Arabidopsis thaliana: one gene and its partner. The protein of the gene in region 2 interacts with the protein of the main gene of each other region in a pairwise test. Each region holds a gene or a part of one and is shown on either strand. Other genes may lie near its edges.

What was found. Proteins that work in one complex are often made in the same cells at the same time.
Region 1: the proteins of CHX27 (region 2) and AT3G02290 interact in a protein complementation assay, tested with the Arabidopsis thaliana proteins (one large-scale study listed by BioGRID).

The regions. Positions count from the first base shown.
Region 1 is NC_003074.8:456,968-461,527, reverse strand, and holds AT3G02290 (RING/U-box superfamily protein), read right to left. Parts: upstream 2,788-4,560; 5' UTR 2,144-2,787; coding exon 2,024-2,143; intron 1,867-2,023; coding exon 1,428-1,866; intron 1,358-1,427; coding exon 1,203-1,357; 3' UTR 987-1,202; intron 867-986; coding exon of another isoform or gene 840-866; 3' UTR 532-839; downstream 1-531. Other genes in the region: AT3G02300 (Regulator of chromosome condensation (RCC1) family protein), read right to left, coding at 1-10; AT3G02280 (Flavodoxin family protein), read right to left, coding at 3,869-4,401, 4,490-4,560. UniProt on the Arabidopsis thaliana protein: Mediates E2-dependent protein ubiquitination.
Region 2 is NC_003076.8:255,538-261,033, forward strand, and holds CHX27 (cation/H+ exchanger 27), read left to right. Parts: upstream 1-1,768; 5' UTR 1,769-1,872; coding exon 1,873-2,091; intron 2,092-2,231; coding exon 2,232-2,744; intron 2,745-2,978; coding exon 2,979-3,476; intron 3,477-3,558; coding exon 3,559-4,416; intron 4,417-4,592; coding exon 4,593-4,808; 3' UTR 4,809-4,953; downstream 4,954-5,496. Other genes in the region: CHX26 (cation/H+ exchanger 26), read right to left, coding at 1-760, 891-1,103; AT5G01700 (Protein phosphatase 2C family protein), read right to left, coding at 5,311-5,496. UniProt on the Arabidopsis thaliana protein: May operate as a cation/H(+) antiporter.

The DNA.
Region 1 (4,560 bases), on a different chromosome or scaffold from region 2:
AAGAAAACATGCACAAAATTGTTATTCTTCTTAAAGACCCAAACTTTATGAACAAAACTCTGACTTTTACAGAAATGAGCAGAAGCGATCACGAATCAGGCAAGTTTTTCAATACCCATCTTAGAGCTAATCGCGAATTACATAACTAAAGATGACACCACACGCATATGCACGAGAATCACAATTAACCAAAAAAAAAAGGAGAAAGAATCTGAAACCGTACCTCACAAATCAATGTTGAAATTGGATGAATCGCAAATTCTGAAGGTCTTTGTTCGGTTTTTGGAGTAGTTAATGTGTAAGAAACGGAGGGAAAGAGAGAAGCAATGAGTCTCGTTCATTCATTTGCTCCGAGAGCTCCGGGACCGACTCCGGAGAGACATTTCTGATATTAACATCGGAAGACCTTTACTTTATAAAATATTACAAAACAGTCCCTAAATTATGTTTTCTTTTCTCTTTTCCCCCACTTCATAAGACTTTTATCACTGCATCAGTTCCTTAGATTGAACACATAAAAAAAGAAAAATTTATTTATATAACGACAATGATGTAAGAGTTTTGATGACTGACTAGAGAATACAACAACAGAGGCATTTCATGAGAAAAAGTCACTTAAAGAAGAAACATTGCTTCTTGTTTCATGGAAGTTAAATTTTCTCAGGAACTTAAACTGTTGCAGAGTAACAGTTTCTCCTTTTCTGCTTCATATATTTACCATTGTAAATGAAAATATTCACAAACCAACAAAGCCAAATTTACAAATTATATTCCTTGCATTGCCTTGTCATCTTCCCCGGTTTCAGTTCAGATACAGGACACGGATCAATGGTCGATGATCACGGTGTTTCGTTGAATTCCATCACCTGCATACATGAACAATGGATCAAAAATGGGAGCTTTTTAAAAATCCGAATGAATCAGAACAACACAACTGTTAGGATTCCAAGAAAAGATTATTTCTTTATCGGGAAACTTGTACGCACATATGCTTTCACTTGTTCTACCATCTGAGTCTCAGGCAGATAAAACCAGAAGAAGCCATGGAAAGAGCATGATGAAATTTGAAAATGGAGCTTTTTAAAAATCAGAATGAATCAGAACAACAATATTGTTATGAATTCCAGGAAAATATTAGAGCTTTTCATCATCTAGACCGTGCAATTTCGAAAAGCATATGGCCTTTTGCTTTGACGGGAGTTTTATACGCACTTCGTTCTAAGAATGCAGAAAAAAAAAGTGGTTACCTTTCCGCAGACTGGACAGTTTTCACTTCTCTCCATCCACTCATAAATGCAACTAAGGTGGAAATGGTGTGAACATTTTGTCACAATCTTTGGGTTCTCTGATGTATATTCTGCAAAAAACCAACAAGATATGAATACTGAAGGAACAAAAAGGAGACTGTTGAATGGGATTATTATTACCTTCAAGACAAGTTGGGCAGACATCTTCGTCTTCAGACAATATATACATGTTTTCAGAGTCGGCCATTATTGACTTGGACCTTGATCTCAAAATCCTGAGACTGGATTTACTAGAGTACTCTTCTTTGGAATCTTTATCAGAGAGGGTGGACTTATTATTAGCCCATTTGCACCCTCCTACCCCGAAAGATTCAGAATCTGCATCGCTATCGCTTCTTAAAGGTTCAACTTCCTCATGAGAATGACTTGAACCCTTCTCCCGTCTTGAGACGAGTGAGCGGAAGTATCTAGGATCAGCATCATAAGGCAGAGGTCTTGGAGTAGAACGGAATGCTTCAGACAAAAAGTTATCGTGTGAAGAAGAGGAAGTTATCGATGCAGTAGCTTGAACCGAAGATGGGAGAGAGCGAGTTTCCCCTCTTCTGAAGACCGAAATATACTGCAACGATTAATATGGGCTCAAAAAATCAGATTACAGATCAAAGTAAATAACTGTGACAAGAACTAGAAATTGTAACTATAGAAACATGAAAACTTTCGAGATATCTAACCATAAGAAGCATAAACTGAAATAGCAATGTGAAGCAAGCAGTTACCAGGTTAAGGAAATTATGAGCAAGGCATCTTATGCAGGGACAGTTCCTATAGACAGAGCTGTTTGGATTCATGTACTCATCAATGTCCTCGACCCGGAAGCAAGAAGAAACACATCCCATCTTCTCCTCCTATATTCGTCTCAAAAACCTTTCAACGTCGCGTGAAGGTTTCTATTTACAGAACTCTGGTTCCCCAAAACATCTGCTTCATATATCCACGTCACCTGCAATGATAAAATGGGTTTGATTCCTTGATAAGTCTAAAGATGCAGAGAAGAGAATGTTATTTTACACTAGTGGAACAAAGCAACTTCAAACAATACATCTCAACAAACCAAAAGTCCAATTTCTGTTGAGTAGCAACTGAGAGTTTCAATCGATCTGAACTCTGAACACTCACAACTCTAACTTGAGGTTTTGTTAAAGTGAAATGCAAGCACTTACACAGGAAAAAACCCTAAATTAGGTAAATTTCCGACAACCACATATATAACCACACAAAAAGAAGAAAAAGATAAAAACTTTGCTTCAACAGAGAAACAGACAAACTCAATTGAGATAAGAGACACCGAAAAGTGAAAAACCCCATTTGCATTAATCCAAAGAACTGAGAAAAACAGAGTGTATCAACCGACAAACAAAAAAACAGTAAAATTTGATCAGAAAACAAACTTGTGAGATCAAATAACGATCAGGATCGTTATTGATGAAAACATATTTCTAGTAATTTTTCAAATAATCGAAAAATTAAAAAGAAAGAGTAAACCTTTGATCGAGAATTGAGCTGGCCGGAGAGAGGAGGCAAAGACCTAAACTGATTCCTTTTCGATCAGATGAAACAAATTAACCGACGAAAGAGAGACAAGGCTTTAAATTTTCAACTTTTAATATAAATATAGAAACTCATTAATTGTGCAATTTCCCAGGAAAGTGAAAAACTTCAAAAGGATTACTATTTGTTTTCTCGTCGGTGATAAAAAGAAAGATTGCGGAAAAAGTGAGGAACACTGAAGAAGATGAAGATGAATGATGATTGTTGTTGTTATGAAAGTGGGTGAGAGAGACAGAGGAGAGCTTCGTTGTGGATGCCAATGGAGCTTCAAACAGAAAATAAGTTGACCTTTAAAAATAACAAAATTCTATATAATAATGATAATCAAAGAACATAATATAATTACGCTTAGATTATTATATAGATGACTTTGTATTTTGAACTTTTTGAATTTTAGACGTATAAGAAATGTTTTTCTGTAAGTTTGAAAACTCCTTTTTCTGTTTCCAAATCACATTTTTTTTTATCGAAATCTCACTGCTTTTATGGGGTTAATGGAGGACGAATAATTATTTTGTTACTCACGCATGCCCGATTATTCTGTGCTTCTGCAATTATTTTTTCGTTTAATACTGAAATTAATCTCTTTTTTTTTCGTGTCAGTGTCATCTACTTTCCATACAAAAAGTAAAAGCAAACTACTTTCTTCAGAAATTTAGACTAGTTGAGGTTTTGCATTGATTATAAAATCTGATTTTAAAAAAATCCTAAATGAACAGTTTTACTCTTTAATTAGAATCACATGACACATGTTACTTAATTGGTGATATTTAAATTTAAACAGAAATTAATATCTAGTGTTATCCAATTAACGATTTTGAAAAACAAACAAACCAACAAAAAAATATGTATTTCAAAACTAAATCTATATCAACCTTAACCTTCGACACATCATCTTCACTTTTAATTAATTTGTATGAATTATCAAAATAAAAATAAAAATTAATGTGCCAGCAATAAAATAATCAGAGAACATATATGTAATAAGATTACATATGAAGGAAGTTAGAGAGTTAAGACCAAGCTTCAACATTGTACCTCCCTGTCTTCTCCAAAGCCTTAAGCCACCGTGAAGCTACCTCCTTTGATCCTCCTCCTGTCTCCTCCGACACAATATCTTCGAAAGCCGACATCACATCACAAGGCATTTTCGTCGACGAGCCCGCCACGTAAACAGCGGCTCCATCACAGAGTAAATCCCAAACTCTCTTGCTCATTTCGCGGATCTTATGTTGCACGTAAACCTTCTTTGGTTGGTCTCTAGAGAACGCTGTGTAAAAGCCACCGCCTTTTCCTTCAGAGAGCATGCCTCCTTCTCTTGCGTGAGACTCCCAGAAATCGCGGTATAGAAAGTCTGTGTCTTTGTTTCTGCAACCAAAGAAGAACATGACGGGGGCAACCGGGCTAGACTGAGCTTGTACGGCTCTCTCAGCTATGAATCCACGGAATGGCGCACATCCGGTTCCGGGTCCCACTAAGATGAGCGGAAGCGACTGAGATGGAGCAGGAAGGGAGCCTTTGTGAAACCAAACCGGTATGTTTACCTCTAACCACAACCGAAGACAAAGAAAACATATCAGAAATAGAGAACTGAGCCATTCACAGTTATGGTAAAGAAGAAACAAACTTCTAACCTTGTTCAGGTGCGAGGCTTGCAAGCCAAGAGGAGCACAGACCTTTCCGAGTTCTCTTATAAGGCGTGATC
Region 2 (5,496 bases):
AGAAGCTACCGATCTTGTCAGTGAGACCAGTACCGAAAGGAGGCGTCTTAGGAGTGACAAGACCGAGAGCCACGGATCCGACTACGTAAGGAAACCCTACAGTTTCAGACAGGAAAGTGGCGGTGCACAACATGACGCAAATGGTGCATAGATGGGAAGCCTTGAGTTTCTTTCCTTCAGGGGTTCTCTTCACTATCCAGTTGAATATTGGTCGGCACACAACTACTATACCAACCAGCAGTAGTACCTTTGTGAAGGTAGGCAGATAAGTGGTCTTGGAGTAATTTTGATGCAAGAAACTGTCAAAGGTAATCAAAAGGAGGAAAAAACCCCAGCCGAAGCAGTTAGCCACCATTATGGAGGAGAGGGCTAACCTTCCGGGCTCCGAGTTCAGCATCTTGAGATTCGACAAAACCGAATACGCCACTTGAAAATACACTACGGATTGGTTTGTTAGTAAATTGTGGAGCTGCTCGGGATTATTTTTCGCCACGGTTCCACGGATGTTGCTCGTGATTACTGTACATGCTATGGCGCCCACCACGTAAGGAAACAGAAAAAGAGATAATCCATTGATGATTGCTAGCTTGCCTCCTCGCTTTATAACTCCCATGTCCACTTGAGCCGTGCTTATGTATGAGATGAACATGAAGGATATTGCCTCAAATGATTCTATTATGAAATAGCTTCTTGTGTTGAATAATTTTTTTACTAAATCAATGTTTTGTCCCAAAGCCGAGGGTCCTAAGAATATCCCAGCCTGTTTCATATATACCAACAAAATATCACACTTCTATAGTTTAAACCTTTTTTTCTTTGCGGGAAATATAGAGAGATCCAAAATTTATTAAAAAAAACGTAGAAAATGGTATGATAAAGTGATTACATACCAGAATTTGAGTGACGAAGTCGACATTTGCGAGAGGGCGGAGAAGAGCTTGGAAGACGGAAGAGAGAGAAGAGACGAGAGAAATGAGAAGAAGAAGAAGAGGAGTTGAATATTTCAATGGATCATCTCCTCTAAGTAATCCGCCAGAGCTTGATCCCAACCATGCCTCGCATACAAATTCATGTGTGCCATTACTTGTAACACTATTGTTCATCTTGTTTCTCTTTGGGAATATTTTTTCTTCTTAAAACTAGTATTCACGTTCTTCTTTATAACCATTTTTGTTTGTGTTTTTGAATTCAGCATAACGCTAACTAATTGAGCAAACAGATCAAGCTTGTTGAGCTGGGGAAGAAGATACATGTATCTTTTTTAAGATATTAAACAGTTTTTGTTGTTTTTTCAAGGATTTTGTGTTGACTTTATTATAACCGTCAGAGAAAAATAGGAAATTATATATGTCATATCTCACTTTGGCAGATGTATTTTTTGGTATTTTACACATTTTTTTTTTATTATAGTTTTATTTTTTTGTTGATCCTGATCTTTTTTAAATTAATACTTATAAGGAGTATTACTAGGTTGATTATTAATTAATCTTTTTTTGTTAGGGATCTAACTTCATGGATTTAGTAGCTAGGTTGGTTATTATAACATCAACATGCAAAATATATATTACAAACACACATGTTTGTGCAATCAATCTCAGGCTATAATGATGATCATCTGACCATGCTCAAGATTTTTGTACCACACAGAAAACATATATAGAAAACCTTAAAAGTAGGATGACCTCTAAAGAGAAATAAAGAACAAGAGGATAAACAACATGTACAATTAAACCCCTAAATATAGCTAGAGAGAGCAGAAACAAAAAAAAGAAGAGAATAATTAATACTTTCTTCTTTTCTTCAACTCACAACACAATCTCTCTCTTTCCCTCTATGGCTTGACTCTTTAGGGGAAATACCTAGCAGGAGGGAATGGAAAATATAACCAAAACTTTTCAGTACGGAGGAGTTGATTGGCTTTGCGAGCCATGGGTAGGTGCAGGCTCTTTGGGGATTGGCCGGGGAGAGAATCCGCTCAAGTTTGCTCTTCCTCTTCTTCTCCTTCAGATTTCTGTCTTTTCCATATTTTCCGTATCTTTTCAGTTTCTTCTTCGGCCTTTTGGAAAATTTGCATTCCTCACTCAGATGCTGGTATACGTTTCCATATCTAAGCATCTATAATTGGAAGCTTTCTAGTGGAAAAATATGGACTAGTCGTCTCAAAAACATGTATAGCCATGCCCATAATGGTGTAAATGTGACTTAATATTTAATAGTGAATTTGTTTGCAGGCTGGGATCTGCTTAGGACCGTCCGTTATAGGACGTAACAAACAGTACATGGCTACATTCTTCTACGCGAGAAGCGTGTACATAATCGAATCCTTCGAGGCCATATGTTTTCTCTTCATTTGCTACATCACAACATGTCAAGTAGACACTAGGATGATAAAGAGAGTAGGCAAGTTAGCATTCATAAACGGCATCTTACTTTTCCTCATACCTTTCGTATGGGGCCAATTCGCGGCCATCTTGATCTCCAAGAGGCTCAAAAGCGGGCCTGCGGGGATCCCTCCCGTGGAGTTCCACCATGTAGCGATCGTCCAGTCCACAATGTTTTTTCAGGTGGTTTACGGAGTCTTGTCGAGCCTAAAGATGTTGAACACTGAGCCAGGGAGGTTAGCACTTGCATCCATGATGGTGCATGACTGCCTCTCTTGGTGTTTTTTCATGCTTAACATCGCCATTAAACTTAATGTTGACTTACCCAATAAAAATCGCGCTGCTTTCTTGTCCGTCTTACAGGTACCCAAGTTGATAAATAATTTCTTAATTAATCTACAAATTTTGCTTTGGAACATCTTCCAATTTTCTTACTATAAAAACATAATTGACTGTGTAAATTCCTACAAAAATAGACAAACTAACTAAGATCCTAATAAAATGCATGAATCCAATAATATTTACGTATAGTATAAACTTGCTTTGATCTATATATACGCTTTTTTATTAATGATATAAAGACGGAAATGAATGCAGATGATAATGATATTGGTGATAGCATATGTGTTCCGACCACTAATGCTGTGGATGAAGAATCGAACACCAGAAGGACACTCTCTCAAGGCCTCCTATCTCTCTGTTATATGCGTCTTGCTCTTCATCTCCTGCCTCTGGGCAGAATTTGTGGGTTTACCTTACTTCTTTGGTGCGGTCGTCTTAGGTCTAGCCACCCCAAAACGTCCGCCTCTAGGCACGGGACTGTCAGACAAAATCGGTTGTTTTGTTTGGTCTGTCCTGATGCCTTGCTACGTCATTGGGATTGGCCTCAATATCGATCTCTCACTGTTTTCCTGGAGAGATGTTATCCGGTTTGAGCTACTTTTTGGGGTGGTCAGGTTTGCCAAAATGATAGCCATTGCCTTGCCTTCCCTTTACTATAAAGTGCCTCTTTGGCACGCCATTCTTGTCGGGTTTATCGTCAATATACAAGGACTTTACGACGTTCAAATATACAAACAGAATTTCAATTACACGGTAACAATAATTCATTTAGGATATACTTTGGAACATATATAATTTTAGGTCAATAACAATCAATAATGGTCAATGGGTGCAGAAAATATCAAGCAAATCTTTTGGAGCAATGGTGATGTCAGCAACGGTAAACTCGACAATTTTCATAGTGATAGTGAAGAAACTGTACCAAACCATGAGCAAACGCAACCCTTACAAGAGACGTACGGTGCAACACTGCCGAGTGGAGGCTCCCCTAAGGATCCTCACTTGTTTCCGGAACCGTGAGGCGGTCCGCCCGGTGCTTGACCTCGTCGAACTCTCTCGTCCAGCCATCGGGTCTCCTCTCTCAGTCTTCGCGGTGAATCTAGAAGAGCTTAATAACCATAGTCTTCCCCTCCTTATCCATCACACGCAAGAGATTAGTCCCTTCCTCGTGCCTAGCCGAAGGGACCAGATCGTTAAGGCCTTCCACAACTTCGAGAAGACTAATCAGGAGACCGTGTTGATAGAGTGCTTCACGGCAGTGGCACCGCGAAAGACGATGCACGAGGACGTGTGTGCGATTGCCTTTGACCAGGAAACAGATATTGTGATCCTAACTCTTGATGCCGGGATCGAGTTATGGGAGAGGCTCCTGTGTCGTAATCTCCTGCACAACTGTCCCTGCTCTGTTGCGCTTTTCATAGACAGAGGAAGGCTCCCAGATTTCAGGTTCGTTCCACTGAAAAAGCTTACCATCAATATTGGTGCTATCTTCTTAGGAGGACCAGATGACCGTGAAATGCTTGCGTATGCAACACGCTTAGCCAGCCATCCAAGCGTCGAGCTCCAAGTCTTCCGGCTCGTGGACCAGAACGGCGTCTCTCCGCTCAGAGACATGGTCGAGAGGAATCACGACATGAGAGTCATCAACGTCTTCCGCAAAGAAAATTCCGAGAAAAACATCATCTTCAGAGAGGTAATGAGAACTATTTTGCCTTGGCTTGGAAGCTATCTTATTTCCCCTTAGACGAAACCTTCTCTATGCAACAGAGGTTTCTATTCGGTTTAGAAAGTTTCTTGTGTAGACGAAACAGAGGTTTTTCTTTATCTAACCTATCATAATGTGTTCCCCTGTTTCTAACATTCTTAAAGGTAAGAATAGAGGAAGCAGTGAATCTACTGGATCTACTAAGGAAGGAAGGGGACGACTTCGATCTGATGATGGTCGGGATAAGACACGAAGAAAATCTTTTGATGTTGGAAGGATTGTCAGAATGGAGCGATATGAAGGAGTTAGGAGAGGTTGGAGATGTGTTGATCTCCAAAGATCTCGAGCTCTCTGTTTCGGTTCTCGCCGTACAGCAATGAGATTGGTGACCGTTTATCTCGTTTTCGTTCCCCGAGTTTATGGATTTGTACAGCCTTTTGTAGAATATTGAATACAAATTTTTTTCTAAAAAAGTTCTACCATTCAAGAAGATATCTTGTTTACTTATATCTTTCAAATCATTCCAGAGCATGTGATCACCAATGAAATTTCAACAGAGATTAACAGATTGTTCAATCATTTGGTTTAGTTAAGTACTTACCATCTTTACTTTTTTTTTTGTAGCTGTTCAGGTTAATGCATTTGCTGCACAAAAAGAACTTATGAATCTTGAACAACTGTGAGGTTGAAATTTGGATTTGCGGAAAAGAAGACCAAGTCCATTAGTTTGTCTACTCTTTTTACTTTTTAATAGCTTCAAAAAACAAACAGAACACAAAATTATTTCACACACAAATAAAGTTGATGTTGAGTAATATCGACACCTCAACAGGTTCAAATTTTACTAAACAGTTAGAAACAACAACAGTAACAATTATCCTACTATGAAACCCTTTGGGATAGACCCAATGGTGACAATGGTGCGGCTCCATAACACTCGTTATTGCTCTTATTTGATCTCCAGGAAATAGTTGATATTGCTCGGCTCACGTTTCCTTCTCTTGGGTAAGGCCGGTGGTTTAGGTAAAGCACCACCACCGCACAGTCATCAGCTTTTGAGGCTGGAAA